Linked DNA regions of Drosophila melanogaster. The protein of the gene in region 1 interacts with the protein of each later gene in a pairwise test. Each region holds a gene or a part of one and is shown on either strand. Other genes may lie near its edges.

The links.
Region 2: the proteins of CG17778 (region 1) and CG17803 interact in a two-hybrid assay, tested with the Drosophila melanogaster proteins (one large-scale study listed by BioGRID).

What each region holds. Positions count from the first base shown.
Region 1 is NC_004354.4:491,213-499,024, forward strand, and holds CG17778 (uncharacterized protein), read left to right. Parts: upstream 1-3,401; 5' UTR 3,402-3,504; intron 3,505-3,565; 5' UTR 3,566-3,857; coding exon 3,858-3,905; intron 3,906-4,256; coding exon 4,257-4,592; 3' UTR 4,593-5,157; downstream 5,158-7,812. Other genes in the region: CG17896 (uncharacterized protein), read right to left, coding at 1-1,416, 2,176-2,205.
Region 2 is NT_033777.3:17,796,081-17,804,029, forward strand, and holds CG17803 (uncharacterized protein), read right to left. Parts: upstream 5,433-7,949; 5' UTR 5,082-5,432; coding exon 5,046-5,081; intron 4,971-5,045; coding exon 4,644-4,970; intron 4,444-4,643; coding exon 3,605-4,443; intron 3,549-3,604; coding exon 3,228-3,548; intron 3,161-3,227; coding exon 2,920-3,160; 3' UTR 2,797-2,919; downstream 1-2,796. Other genes in the region: CG7379 (uncharacterized protein), read right to left, coding at 586-792, 854-1,806, 1,888-2,029; CG17806 (uncharacterized protein), read right to left, coding at 5,715-5,850, 5,907-6,925, 6,976-7,086; Nnk (nicknack), read right to left, coding at 7,450-7,576, 7,776-7,898.

The DNA of each region.
Region 1 (7,812 bases):
GTGATGGTCGCCGCGGAAAGAGCCACGAGTTCCGGTAAAGGAGAACATGGGCAGGGGCACGGGAATTGGCACATTCACGCCAACCTGACCAGCATCAATTTCGTTGACAAACTTGCGGGCTGCCGCTCCATTGGTGGTGAATACGGCGGTACCATTTCCATAAGGATTGGCATTTACAATGCCAATGGCATCGTCCAAGGTGTCGGCCTTCAGGATAACCAACACAGGGCCAAAGATCTCCTCAGTGTAGCACTTCATGCTGGGCGTAACATCGCTTAGGATGGTTGGTCCCACAAAGTATCCATCCTCGTATCCGGGCACGGTTATCTTCCTGCCGTCCAGGATAAGCTTAGCTCCCTCCTTGACCCCAGACTCAATCAGGTCATTAATGCGTTGGCGTGAGGCGGCACTGATCACGGGACCCACGTCAGTTCCAGGTACATGGCCGGCATTTACCTTCAGCTTCTGGGCACGCTCCACCAGATCGGGAATCCATGCCTGGGCATCGCCGACAAAGACAGCCGTAGACAATGCCATGCAACGCTGACCAGCAGCTCCAAAGGCGGCACCTGCCAACTGGTTCAAAGTATTCTCCTTGTTGGCATCGCCCAGGATGATGCCGTGGTTCTTAGCGCCCATATTAGATTGCACCCGCTTGCCATTCTTGCCAGCCCGCTCGTAAATGTACTTGCCTGCCTGGTCGGAGCCCACAAAGGACACTGCCTTAATTTCGGGAGCATCGCAGATGAAGTTCACAGCGTCATGTTGGCCATGGATTACGTTGACGACACCCGGCGGACAGCCAGCTTCGTTAAGAAGCTCCATCAGCAACATGGTTGCACCAGGCACACGTTCCGATGGCTTCAGCAGCATAGTGTTACCGGTGGTGATGGCCACCGGGAACATCCACAGCGGTATCATGGCCGGGAAATTGAACGGCGCAACGCCAGCGGTTACTCCGAGGGGCAGCACTAGTGAGTACGTATCCATGTCCCTGGCCACGTTGGCTACGGTTTCGCCCATCTGCAGAGATGGGATGCTGCAGCAATGTTCCACCACCTGAAGGCCGCGGAGCACGTCGCCCTCTGCGTCGGCCAAGGTTTTGCCCTGCTCCTTGGTAATGTTCTTGGCCAGCTCACCCATGTTCTCCTTGATGAGAGCCTGCAGCTTGAACATCACCTGCTGGCGGGTGAGGATCGACTGGTTGCTCCACGAGCGAAAAGCCTTCTTGTTCGACTCAAGGGCCGCCTGCATCTCCGCCTGTGTGGCCTTGGGCACGCGGGTGACCACTTGGTTGGTGGCCGGATCGTGCACGTCAATCCATTCGTTCGTCTTCGACTCAACGAACTTGCCGTCGATGAAGAGCTTGGTTGTGGGAGCGGCTGAAGAGTAGGACCTCTTTGCCAGATGGCGGGCCTGGTGATAAAGGAGGGACAAGAGTTGGTAAACAGCCAGTACAAAAGGTATGAACTCCGATCGCTAAGCGTACTTTATTTTCCCACTTCCACGTATACTAAACCAAAAATTTACCATTTAGTCCACCTTTCATTTGCTTTGCAAATTGCCCAGTGCTCGCAATCCTAACCTCAACGGCCGGACAAATCCGTTTAATGTGGGGTGAGGTCTATTTTTTTGGGTGTTGATAACTTGAGTGGTAGGCGCGCGGGGGGCAGCCGCCCACGCTTATCAGTGTCCATCTGGCAAATTCGAGATTTTCATGGCGCGCCTGTCGTGGAAAGGTACCGCTTATCGCGTTTTATTGGATTTAACGTCAACTCAAACATTGTACCGCTAAATTCCCCGCGAATTCGCCTTGTGCGCTTTATCTGCTTAATATTCTGGTTCTAGTTCTACTTCTTCCGCTTCGCAGCGACGTATTGCGTAACATGTGTTGTTTTCAACTGCCCGTTCGCCGCTCACACCCGTGGGCCATTCCAATCACTAGAGTGGGTGGAGTGTGAGATGGGCGCCGAAAGTGCATACATTACATGCCCAAGGCCAATCGCATCGCCAATTACCGAATTCACGGCCACACCAGTGTCAGAGAGAACGAGAGAGAGCGCCAAAACGATCCAAATGCTGATGGATGGATGCACGTATGTATGTATGTCAGGGTGAGGATGGCAGCCTAGCATGCCTATAGGACATACACCCACCCACCAATTGGAAACTCACCTCTGCTCCGATCAATCGCACTAGGGACATCTTGGGGATACGGAGATGAGAATTTGGTGCGGGGATCGGATCGCGTGCTCTCCGAACGGTGGCTACACTGAAACTGAACGCAGCGCAGCCGCCCATTTCTGATGCCAGTTATTCTCCACTGTTCTCTACACATATACATGAATGGAAATATATATGTACATATATCTGTATAGGTTTGAGGTAATGTATGGTGGTGTGGTGTGGTATTGGCATGGTGTGGCGATTGTTGATATACGAAGGCGAAGGCGAAGACCACGTCAAAAAGTGCTTTACATTAGCAAGTGGTTATAGTTTGATGCTCACACACACGTGTACACGCACATATGTATGTAACTTGCTACCGCACACACCGTTAGGAACCGGGGGCACAGCTGTTGTTTTTGTGTTGCTCTGTTTTCGCAATTGTTGCTGTTGCTGTTTTTTGGGGGCTCGTTGTGAGTATGTGTGTGTGAGTGTAGTGCTTGCTTTGCGGTGTTTGCGTTCTTGTCAATTCCCTGCTGGAAGGGAATGTTAGCTATGGTGACGGCAGTGTAGTATTGTAGTACCCAAATGCATACTCTATGGTTAATCAATTTTATGGTAATCAAGCCAGTTTATGTGTTCCAGTTAGATTGTAACAACTTTTTAAGTGTACAACAGTGGAAGTGTATTGGATCTTCGATGCTAGACATGCTGAACTGGCTTAGGGTATTTATAAACACCGGCGGATCCAATGTAGTATATTTGTGTTTTTCCATCAACGTATGTACATATGTACATATGTACGTATGGACACATGTACATATGAACTTAAACGAAATGTAATCAAATATTAATACTAGTGCTTAACCGAGGATGGAAAAAATAATCAATTAGGTGATAAGTGCTTCCTAGCTGAACAGATAAATCCTAAAAATGTTTCCTGGAACGCAGTGTGGACAGAAGCAGGCTGGCGCATTTTTCACTTTCTGAATGAAAATTTGTCTGCCTGCTTTTAGGCTTTTGGTCTATTAAAATAGCAAGTTCGCTTTCATCATCGGGCAGGGTAAGCTTTTGCTAGCAGCCCCGCTTCCTGGTCAACATAATCAAAAGGACTAGCCTGCACCGGGAAAACAAAATCCATGGAAATAGATGCAACACAAATGAAAGGCTTTCTCTTTTTTAAAGAAAGTGGTTTGCTTTGTCTCTCAATGGGACAATAGTAGCTCCTTTCTGCTCTTCAGTGATGCCCACCGGTAGTTGAATCAAGGAATTACAAAAAAAAAGTTCTGTCATTTGAAATCCATAACGTTTACAAAAAATCCATTGGCTTCGAAAAGTGTAAGCATATACTAAAAAGAATTCGATTAAATATAGCATATTTTTATACGTTGTTTTTAAGCAAGCTAAAGAAGTACCAGCACTGCCACTCGCTCTTTCTCTCGCTCCCTCTCTTGCTGCGGAATGCGGAAGTCAACTTGTGTGCAGGAGCATATAAATAGTGGGACCAATCGCAGGACTCGCTCACTCTGCTCGGAGAGCTTGGACTGGACTGTCAGCGCTCCGGACGACGCGCCTTAAGTTAGGCAAAAACAATTTTGTTATTTGCCGCAGTATGGACTTGCTGCGCTGACTTACTACTTACTGTCATGCCAAGAGGCTGAGGTCGAGAGGCAGCTTGGGATCTGGAAAAGATGGAGGCCACGCCGGGCTACCAGGACATCAGCGCTCTGGAAAAATCGGTGAGCTTATCGACCAGGCAAACAGAAATAGCCACTTATTCATTCAGAAGTATAGGCACTCAGAGTGTAGTGAGAGAAATTAGGGACACTCCATGGCGGTCTATTACAATCATAAGCCACATTGTCAGTTGGTGCCGAAATATGAGTATTTAAGATCTTTGTCCAAAGTACCTAAATGTAGACTGTTAATCCAAGTTTATCGAACTTAATTTAAGATGTTGTTATCAGGATTTGATCATAAGTTCTCCTGGGAATATCTTTTCAATGCTTCCCTAAGCTGAAGAGAGAACGGAAGCGGCCAAAATTCAATTACTTAATCCATAGGTAACCTACATTTCCCTCTGCTTCAAGGTGGCCAATGCAGGATCGCAGCTGTACACGATGGCCCACAAACTGCACGCGGTGGAGCGCAGCCTCGAACAGACGACGATGGAGCAGATGGACGAGATGGAGGTCCTCGAGTTGCTCGAGTCGATGAGCGAGGTGACCAACGAGTACCAGAATCTGCGCAAGGACATTCGCGAGGTGCAGCAGTTGCAGCGTGACGTCAGCAGCTCCATACGGTACCAAATGCGCAGCATGCAGCAGACTTTTCACACTCTAAAACAGCGGATAGCTAGCTCCCAGAAGGGTCGCAAAAAGCCCGAGAAAGGGCTCGATGGAGCAGGGGTTGGTATTCATGAATAATCAATGACCCTATTGATTGGCCTCCCTGGCGAATAGGTGCGGTAAATGTGTCAATGGGGACGCAAATGTAGGGACTAAATTGGCACCAATCTGAAGCAATCAACTGTGTAACTATATATCGCAAGCCCACTCCAAGCATTTAGACTCGGAAAAAAATCCTATACTTTATATACATGTATACACATTAAGAAAACCACACCCATTGTATGCGAATTAAGGTTTTTTTTTGGTGTTTTATTCCAGTGATAGGCAGGAATAACGAAAACTCACTGCTCTAAGAACACAAAAACACAATGCTTAACACAGAGTAAACAACATTTACGATGATATGCGTTCTTTAGGACGAACCGGAATGTCTGAATGCACTTTTCCAAATTTTGCCTTAACATAATAGTATTTTGAGGTAGTTTTTGATACGACACGTTTTAAAAGATAATATATAACAGACCGTACATATTTAGGCCACACACAATGGTTATTCTTGTGTTAGTTTCATTTTTGGAGATTTATTTGTTGAGCTCTAGAGAAAATAAAAGTTAGTTAAACCTCGGGAGACGAGGAACGCATATATTTAAATCTGGCGCCATCCGGTTGTCAACAACAACCTTCTGGCAACTCCTCTAAGTCGCATCTGGCAATGTCATCTGATCGCAGCCGAGTGGCAACAGTGGTCGCTGCTGCGTTCGCGTACTTTCGTGACTTCATTTGCGATTTTATTTATATTCTCCGTGTTGCGAATAAAATGTATGTATCATGGCAGTTGTTTAAGAAGCGAATATACGCTGATTCATCCTAGGCTGGCGAGAAGATCATTGCGAAAAAAGTGTACGAAAAGAAAGTGCAATAACTGCAGCTCTATTGTGCGCGCATCTGGGTGTGCGTAGATCTTTGCATCGGTGTGTCGGTGTTTTTTTACGTTTGTGTGCGTGGCGTGCCCACATTTGTGGCACAAGTTTAAAAATTGGCACTAAGAAAGTTCAAGAAAGTGGTTCTGGGGAAAATAGTTCATTCATTCAGCATCCACTTTCTGTTGAAAGTGGCGCGCCTGCGTTTTGTGTCTTAATCATCGCATTGCTGCCTGCCTACGTGTACAGAAACTGCGAGCGCTCCGGGAGAGTCCCCGAGAATCCCCAAAATGTTGTTTTTCTGCCTAGCCTTGATCATCGGCTGCGCAGTCGGAGAATACAGCGAAGTCCGGGTCATCCAGGAAGAGGACAACTTCCTGGAGAGTCCTCACTACCTAAAAAACGAGGAAATAGGAGATCTTTTCAGCCAGCTAGCCAAGGATTACCCCGACTTGGCGCAGACCTATACAATAGGCAAATCCCTGGAGGATCGACCCATCTACGCCCTAGCCTTAAGTGCACCTACCGGGGAGTCCAAGAATGGAGATCTCCTAAGGCCAATGGTTAAACTGGTGGCCAACATACAAGGCGATGAAGCCGTGGGTCGTCAGATGGTTCTCTATATGGCCGAATACCTGGCCACCCACTACGATGGGGACCCGAAGGTCCAGGCGCTACTAAATCTCACCGAAATCCACTTCCTGCCCACCTGTAACCCCGATGGATTCGCCAAAGCCAAGGTGAGTCACCTCCTGTTTCTAGCTTATCAAGAATCCACGGAAAGCAAGTTTTGGAACGGAAAAATGATTGTAAAGTGAGTGTCGAATCGCCCGGCCAACTGTTTATACAACACACTAGACCGAGAGAAAAATACGCTTTGCGTTTTTTTTCCCAACTTGTACATTATATTCAGTCATTAGCTATACACTTGAACAAATGTTTGCCGTTTTTACTGTGGGATTTCCCAAACTTTTGGACCTATTGCTGTTGCAAAAGCGAGCTTACAATATTGAAAAGCAGAATTGCTCTTTGGCATTTTGTTTCTATGTACATGTCTTTCCCTCTCTCCATCCCATTTTTCTTTATTCCCTGTTTCGAGCTTTTGTGTGAATGAGCTGGTCTTTTTTGATTACCGCAAATAAAAAAGCATCGAGATCAATCTGAAATCATTCCCAATCAAAATGGAATGTGTGAACGAAAGGTTTTGACCCACTTTTGGCCTCTGCGTTTGTGATCCCTTAATTAGCAGGCAAGAACTGCATCTTAACTTATCGCTTTCAAAATAAAAATCTTTAAAATAAAATTTAGCACAGTCCTTAGAAATTTTGTGCCCCATAATGTTTATTTGATTCCCCCTGCATTTCGTGGTATTGACTGTTCCATAATGTTTTGAGTACATTTTAATTAATTATTTTGTTTAAAATTGCACGGTTGTATAGTTTTCATAATTTTATTTTTAGATTCATGCAATGATGCTACAAATTTGTATAGGTAATGACAATTAAACGGCCATCGTTCTTTAGCCTAGGAATCGTTATTTGTGGCTCTTGTCTGGTTTTTTATGTGACCCAATGGCATCTGAACATTCCACTTGTGCTCCAGCGGGTAACTGACACAATTTAATGAGCTGTTTAATTCTAGTTAGGCCTGAAAATCGCATATATTATGGCCTTGGTACGTGATGTGGCGATGCTGACCCCACATCCTTTGCCATTTTTCGCTGAGTGCGGGTGTGCGATTCTTGGTGACGGTTTTATGGCCTCTCCAAAACTGTGCTGATAAAGTAAACAAAGTTGGTATTCGGTGCGCTGACGTTATGATTTCGCAACTGCAACGGCGGCCCCAACAATAACTGAGAAAGAGTTACAGGCGTCAGGGGTGCGAACGACGTTTGCTGTGTTTTACAAGAAACTGGTTAGATGTCACAACAAAAACAGTAGGAGCAAGCAAAATTGCCCGCCTTTGAGGTTCGTGTTTGATTTACACCCCTTATTTTCCTGCAATGTGGATTTGTTCGCAACCAGTTTGTCGTTGTAGTTGATGGGGTTTGCTGCTGTGAGTTAAGTGTGCTATAAAGATAGCTAATATCCGCTGCGAACGCGCGTTTGCAGTCTTTTTTGAATGCCCGACTGCAGTCGGCAATAAGTAGCGTGGCTTAGATTGTATGAATCAAGTATCTGCAAAAGACGTGTACATTTAAGACATATTCTTTGAGCTGCTAAATACACGTAAATTACATTTGCGTTCTCGAATGCCAATCACAATTAAAATGAATGGCAAGGAGCTTAAATTTTAGTTTTCTTTAGACATTTCAATAATCATTGTTCCTTGGAGGGCACATACAATTCGTGTACGCCTCGCCGCCTCCTGAGGTG
Region 2 (7,949 bases), on another chromosome or scaffold:
GAAGAACCTCCATACAGAAGCTCGAATAATCTATTAGAATACTTTTTGACTTGACACGCAACAAGAACTCCGTCCATGCGCATTTTTTACAATAAGAATTCCATACAATTCCACAGATGCCTACCAAATAGTTTTATATAAATTTATATATTTTACACACATTTATACACGATCAATTATACTTATGTGTAATTCGAATGCCTTAGTCTTCTAAACGACAATTAAACAAATAGATTCGTAAAACTACTGCTACTGGATACGGGCTCCTTGGGGCCAAGAAATTATTGTGGGTTTTGAATATCAACGTTTATTACCATAAATTAAGTTTAGGTGTACTCTAATTATACGAGTTTTTGTGTGTTTACATTGAGAAAGATATTGTTTGTACAGAAACTTTAAATGAAAACTGACGACCTATAACCATAGAAGCGAGGGATCTAAACTGGGTGAAAGAGGGGAAAGTCGAAAAGGGATCGGGTCTAAGAAAGTCACTAAATATACATTAAGGTAAATCTTAGGATCGAATATTTTACAGAGCCTGGTGTTAGACACAGAGCAATGGGTTGGATAGGCTGGCCTAATAGACTAGGTCTTCTCCTCCTTTTCCTTGTTGTAGCGCTCCAGTTCTTTGAGGAACTGCGCCTTGGGTTTCATTACATTTGGCCGTTCTCCGCGGCAGTTGGGGCAGAACCACTTGCCTTTTGGTTTTAGTACCAGGGAGACGCACGAAAAATGGAACCACTCGATGGGGCACAGGTCATTGTCGCACAGGATCATCTCGCCAAAGGAGATCTGCAATAGAAAACGTGATTAGTGGCGAAGCTTTTCGATAGGAAAAGCACTGCGAACTCACCTGATTGCAGACACAGTAGGTCGGCTCGTCCGGATCAATGGTCTCCGGCGGCGGCGTCTCCTCTCGCGTACTGGCATTGGCATTTGAAGCCCCAGAACCGCGTACCTTGCGCTTTTTCTTCTTGCCGGAATTATTGCCACCAACTACGCCGGCTCCGCTGGCACCACCACCTCCGGCTGCTCCACTGCTCGTGGCTGCAGAGCCGCTAGCCAAACTGCCAGAAGCCGACTGCAGACTGGCCTTTCGTCCCTGTCCCGCTCCACTGGCACCGCCCAACGAGGATTTGCGCTCGCCACTGCCACCACCACTGCCACTGGCTTCATTTGCCGAGTTGGACTCGTTGCCGCCCATCTCCAGAGAGCTTCCGTTGTTAACAACACTCTCGTTTCGCCTCCTCGACCGCTTGCTACCTGTGCGCTGCAGTTCTCCGCCTCCTCCGCCGCTGGCATTGCCATTGGAGCCGCTGTTGCCACCATTACTGACATGGCTCGAGCGCTCCGAGTTGGGCGTTGAGCCGCCACCGTTGCCGGAGGTCATGGCATTAGAACCAGGCACAACACCACCTGCATAGCCGCCCAAGGCGTACAGATCTTTGGCCGAAAGCAGGCCGTTTCCATTTAGGCCACCGTTGCCAGTGCCCGCTTGGTTGCCCTGCTCCCTCATCGGGCTCTGCAGGCGTTGCAGCTTCGAAGGCGTGCCATCGTCCAGGAGCGCATACCGATCGCGGTCCTCCTTCAGGTCCAGGTTCTGCTGGTCGGTGTCCAGCTGGCGCAGCTTGCCGTCGATTATCTCCTGCATATGATTGACGATCTGCATTTTTTCGTCGCCCAGTTCCTGCGCCTGAATGAGACTCTGGTGCATCCTGGAGATGCTTCGAGACCGTCGCCCGGCATCCGCGGAGTTCTGCAGGGACAGATACAGGTCGTAGTAGTGGTCTACGTCGCGAATGAGGCCTGCAAATCGACGGGTTTGGACCAAGAGAGGAGGTTAGGTTTTCCGCTTTTCCAACAGGCGTAATCTCGGCCAGAACTCACCTCTGTACTGGACGTCTATGTCGCGGATGCGTGACAACTGGCGCTGCACGTCGTCCGGCAGATTTTCCACCGAATCGATATAGTTGTCCACATAGGTGGCCGAATTGATGGCCTCCGACTCGGATGCAATGGGGTTTATCATCGTGTTTGGACTGCGAATCGCTCTATTCCCGCCGCGACATCGGCTCGGGGACGTGGGTTCGGATGTGAGCTACTCTTCCGGCGCTCTGGAAGGGATCGGCTGGCTATATAGTACTCCGATTCCACTCAGTTCCAACTTTTTGTATGGCGTTGCGAGTCGCAACTTGCGACTGTACTCGTGTGTGCGTGTATGTGTGCGTAGGTATTATTTATATGTATGTATACAATGGGTGGTTGTGCTTTGCAACACTAGTCGGCTGGTGTTTTGCTACACTGAAATCGGGGTGGTTAACGGCACTGCTGTTTCGGTTGAATTTTTTAATAAATAAGTAATATTGGTTTTAATAGTTTGTGGTCAAATATCTTCTCATCATTTCCCTAGGCAATAGAAAGTATTAAAAATATTTTCCCTTTAAATACAAATTTAATTATTACTTTCAGTCCTTTTTTTGTATTCATTTTATTACAATTATCGTAATTTTAAAATCATGTATCATTCATTCAACGGCCAGTGTAGGAAACGTTCAAAACCAACCCCTTACTCATTTGCCCGGGAAACTGGAGAATTTCAAATAACAGTATCAGCTGATTTTTTAATTAGGAAAAACAAATGCACTTATATTATTTTTTAATTGATTATTATTTAATATTAATAATATAAATATTTATTGTTCCTTTCATGAAACATACGTCTGAACTATTCAGATTTGTATTTAGGTTGTCAAGTCTATTCTTCATTAAGCTTAACGTTATTAAATGCATAATACTATTATACGAATTATATATTTTTAAAATATTGTTCGTGCATTATCTTCTATGTCGGCACTTACTAAACGTCACCTTAGAAGTATTACGTACTTCGCCATGAAAGTATATAAATTTTTATAAAAATTATATATATTCAATAGTTTGAGTCTTTTCATCCTGAGTTCTGGCTCGCACTTCCTGTGCATTTGGCTGCATTGGTGTTTGAGATTCAAAGTCCATTTCCTTATCAATATCTTTAAATGCTTGTTGCAGTCCATTAACTTCTTCTTTTATAGCTTTCTGCATATTATCCCGATGCAAATCGGTGTTTTTGTGTTTGTTTAGATTATATCTATGGCGGTAGTGAACATCGCAGATCTCGCACCTGGCAATATAAATCAAGTAAAGAAATAAGTAAACGGACAGTAGTCGGGATTCTCTTTTGCACCCACCGATGAGGATGCATTCCTGTGTGTACATCCTGATGCTTTGTTAGTTGGGAGCGCAGCAGGAATCCCTTTAGGCAGATGTCACAGCGAATGGGAAACTTGTCGTGCAAAGCTTGATGTCGTTTCATGGCAGATGGGTCAGCGAATTTCATCTGGCAAATCTTGCACTGGAAGGGTCTGCTTCCGTTGTGGAAGTTCATGTGCAGGACTAGACCTTTCTTGCTGGTATAACTTTTGGTGCACTGGGTGCAGTAATGGCGACTGGATCCCTCTTCCTTTGATTTCACCCGCGTTCGAATCCGATTGCCTGCTCCGTGAACATCCCTGGAGTCAATCGAAGTGATTAGATGATGGAACCATCAAATAGTAGGTGCACTCACCTCTCGTGCCTGTGACGACTGCTTGCGTTTGCGAAGGACTCATTGCAATGGTTGCAGGGAAAGGGATGCTCGCCCTTGTGCAGCGCTCTTACGTGAATGTTGCGCGTATAGAGATCGTAGAATTTCTTCGGGCATTCGGGGCACTCGAAATTCTTGGCCCTATTGTGACGGAGCAAGTGCATCTGCAGCTGACTGCGTTGGCGAAAGGTGTGGCCGCACTTGTCGCAGACATAGTTCAATGGCTTCGCTTGTATCCTTTCGCGGCGCCTTCGGTTTTTCTCCTCTGGACTCACCCTTAGTTGAGGTTTCTTTGGTAGTGAAAGCGAATACTTTGGTGCAGTTTCCTTTAGGCTATTGTACTCACCGAGCACAACCTTATAGACCTTGGCTCCGTGATCTACCTTACCAATCTCTTCCTTAGTCTTACACTTTCGTATGCTAATTATTTCATTACATGACTTGTTTTGCTCCAAAGCAAAGTCTTTTTCTGTGTCTCTGTCTAGATCCAACTCATCTTCACTTAGTGAAAACTGAGTTGGCTCTGCATCCAGTGGAAAGTCGTCTTCATCCAGGACACCCTCACTATCCGGCAACAACTCTGAGCTGAAATCTTCTAGTCCTACGACTCCCTTTGCCTGCTGGGCGGACTCTTCGTAGAGCACATTTTCCAGCTCCGACTCCATTTCCTCGTCACAGATTTGAATGTTGTACTTTTCCGTCGTCTGCCTAAGCTTTTTGTCGACCTGCTGGCATTTGGCACGGAATTCCATGGATTTATTCACAGTTTCCTGGCACGTTGAGCAAATGTGATGCGGTAGCTCTTTGACTCCTTGTTGTATCTGCAATAAAATGTTAGTTCTTTAATGCAGCTTTATTATAATATTATATAGTGGGTTTATTTTTCTGTTAAATTTGTGGTAGAACAGTTTAAGAACTCACATATTATGTTCCTTGTCAACAAAGTTAACTTATAAAACGAAGATGAAACAATTTAACAACAAAAAAGAAAACGTAAGTTTAAATGCAGACGCAGACGTACCCACACCCCAGTGATGACCTTTATGTGGTGCAGAAGCGCTATGTTGACCCTGTCATATAGATCCTGAGCATCCTCATGCCGCGATATGATGCGAAAGCAGGTGCGGCACTTGCTTGCCGGCGGGGGATCGCATTCCTGGAGCCCAGTGCTCTCCTCTTCGAAATCACTATCAAAAAACGCACTGTCTGCTGTGGTCGTGTCCAGGGCAGTGGATGTGGTGCAGGTGGCGTCACTGTCGTCTGCCTCCGCCAGGAATAGCTTCACAAGCTTTTTGTTAACCTGCCGCGAGGAGCGCATTGTGTCTTTGTTGTCGTTTGACTGGCGCACCTTGAATGCAAAAAAAAAACGAAGGTATACATAATATACCAGATTAGAATATTAATAAGAGTTTGAGTGACACACCCATTTTGAATCGCTGGCTGTCCTAGACGACCTCATCTGTGAAAGTTATTCGCAAATAATTTGAGCTCTCCCGTTTTCGGCAATGTTGAGTCGATGAAAAGTTTCGCGGACTGTTGGGAAAGTCCGGAATATGCTTTCTTCTTTCACCGAGATGTGCTTGGACTGGCGAACTCGCAGAGGAATCTGTTGCCGCAGATGCGAACTGCGCACTTCATCCTTTGCCGGCAAACTGCGAATTTCTGCAAAACAGCAAGCACAGTTTGCAGGGCTGCATAACCTTGAACTAGGGGTTGAACTCCAGGCTGTGTCCATGTGCGTAGCCAAGAGCACTTTTCACGGGCGTAGCGATTTTAGTACGGTGCATATGGCTTTAAGCTTTTTGTTTACTTTAAGCACTTGTTGAGAATAGCCCAATTCATTATTTTAATTATATTCTTTATTGAAAATTATTGATGTTAGCAAAACCACAATTTACTGCTATGCCATATCTTATTAGGAAACAAGGGAAGATAGTCGAGTCCTCGACTATCAGATACCCGTTACTCAGCTTGGATGAGGGAGCAATTTGTAACCAATTTTTATTGACATCAACTTTAGAAAGTTTCCAGAGGGGCATTTTGCATGTCAATAGCAGAACATGCGAAATAATCCTCTCAAGGAACCAACGATTTACCCATCCGCTTGGACAGTAGCATCCATTTTTGGCATTTTTGACTGCTCCTCAACTTTCAGGCGATGGTGCTTCGACTTGTAGTGGGTGGCCAGGGCGTTCCTTCTATTGAAGAACGTTTGGCAGAGCTCGCAGCTAAAGAAAATGTATTAAGTAAAGATCCAAACAGTGTCTGTTTGACCGTAACTCACTGGAATGGCTGTTCCCCCGTGTGGACCACGATGTGGTCCTTGAGAGCCGTCGAAGTCTTGAAGGCCTTCTGGCATGTGGAGCACACGTGTGGTCGGTGGACGGGACTCTCCTTGTGGTTGCGCTCGTGGTTCAGCCGCTTGAGGCAGTTGTCAAATCGCTTGCCGCAGTACTTGCACACGTAGGGCAGCTCCCCGCGATGCTTAATCCGCACGTGCAAATTGAGCAGGTGTTGGGTGAACTCCATGCGGTCGCACTCCTGGCACTGGAACTCCTTGGTGCCCTTGTGCCGTCTGAGGTGCACATTGAAGTTGCCCTTCTCGCTAAAAGTTTTGCCGCATTGGTCGCAGAAATATAGTCGGTGCTCCAGTGCATAGGCTCTTTTGGCAGCTCCCCATTTGTTTCGTGTGGCATACTTTTCCTCTTTGGTCTTATTGGTAGTTGAGTCAATATTCTCTATTTTAGCCATGTCCTTGCCAGGACACTCCTCTAAGCACCCTTTGCTCCTCGGTTTTCTTCGGTTTTTCTGTACTTCCCCGATGACTTGTAGTGTTCTGGGCTCTTCCTTCATGACTTGGGGCATTTCGGATGCTGGCTCTTCGTGATTCATGGACTCCACTGGATAATCAGATGAAAGCTGAGGCTCGCTCTTCACCTGAATAGGATCCTCGCACCGGAGAGGATCGACGAGATCGGCAGGCGGTATTTCCGGGACAACTAAAGGGTAAATTGGGGTTTCTACTGTCTTAAGAGGCACTCCATCCACTTTCTTGCTGCGTTGTGGTAGAATCCTTCTCCTTTGCGGCTGTGCAATACTAATGGGCATAACATCCACCCTACTTTCTAACCTGTTATTCCCGCCTTCCCTTGCAGTCTCAGTGTCCGAATCCTCTTGTTTGCCCTGCTTTTCGAACCAAGACGAATTGGTCCTGATGCAGCGCTCCCGGAATGCGATGGCATCGTTCAGATCCAGCAAGCAGGATAAGCAGATCCTCGTTGGCACACCTGGCTGGTTCCTCAACTGGAATCGAAGAGGGAATGACTCCGTGGTTACCGGGAATAGTCACCTACCCAAAAGCCCGTCAGCTTGAGGATGTTGCTCAGGACATCTCTGGCCTCCTTATCGAAAAGTGACTTGGCGTGCTCCGCCTCCTGGCCACAGGTGCGGCACAGCGTGGTCATCCTTTTTGCAGTTTCAACTCAATTGTTTAGTTTCCGCCAAGTAAACAAAGTTGGACTTCTGTTTACAGAATAATCTAGTTTATCATTGTTTTGTGTGAATGGCACATTTTAAAGTGAACTACAAGGAATTAGTTCTTCCGATTTGAACTGTGGATTTGTTGTAATAAACGTTAAATATTTAAGAGGATGAAAGATCCACTTTCAAAACTGATCGATACACCCAAATCACAGTCAGATATCTTATGATATTTCATCTTATTAACTTCTTAGAAATACTTTTATACTAAATTATTATAATTTTAACAGATAAGAACATTAGACCTCTAAACGGATGACAACACTTAACAACAAAACATTTGTACCTTATTTATTTTTGGAATCAATTTCGGACTTAGCACTCATTGCGATCAGCTTATTTTGATGCTGCCTGGAGCGGTAGTGGGTCTTCAAGTTCGAGTTCCGTGTAAAGGACACTTTGCAGACCTCACAGCTAAGGGGAAAGTAGATAAAAACAAAGTTAAACATTTGAAAAAGTAACTTTTCAAGCAGGAAATAGTTAACTTGATTGCTGGATGTAGTGGATATTAGGAAGTAAAGAGTTACAAAGTGGGAATAATAAGATGATTGATACTTAAAGGAATATGTTAGGAGAAAGAAAAATCTAGCCATATATCTTCACAAGATCTTACTGGAAGTTACGCTCGCCGGTGTGGACCACCTCGTGCTTGGCCCTCTGGTAGTTCGACTCGTATCGCTTGTCGCAATAGTTGCACTTGAAGTTCTTTGGTGTTTTCTTGTTCCGGTGTACCCGGCTGAAAGAATGGCAGTGTTCGTAGGTGCAATTTAGGGGATTTAAGGTATGC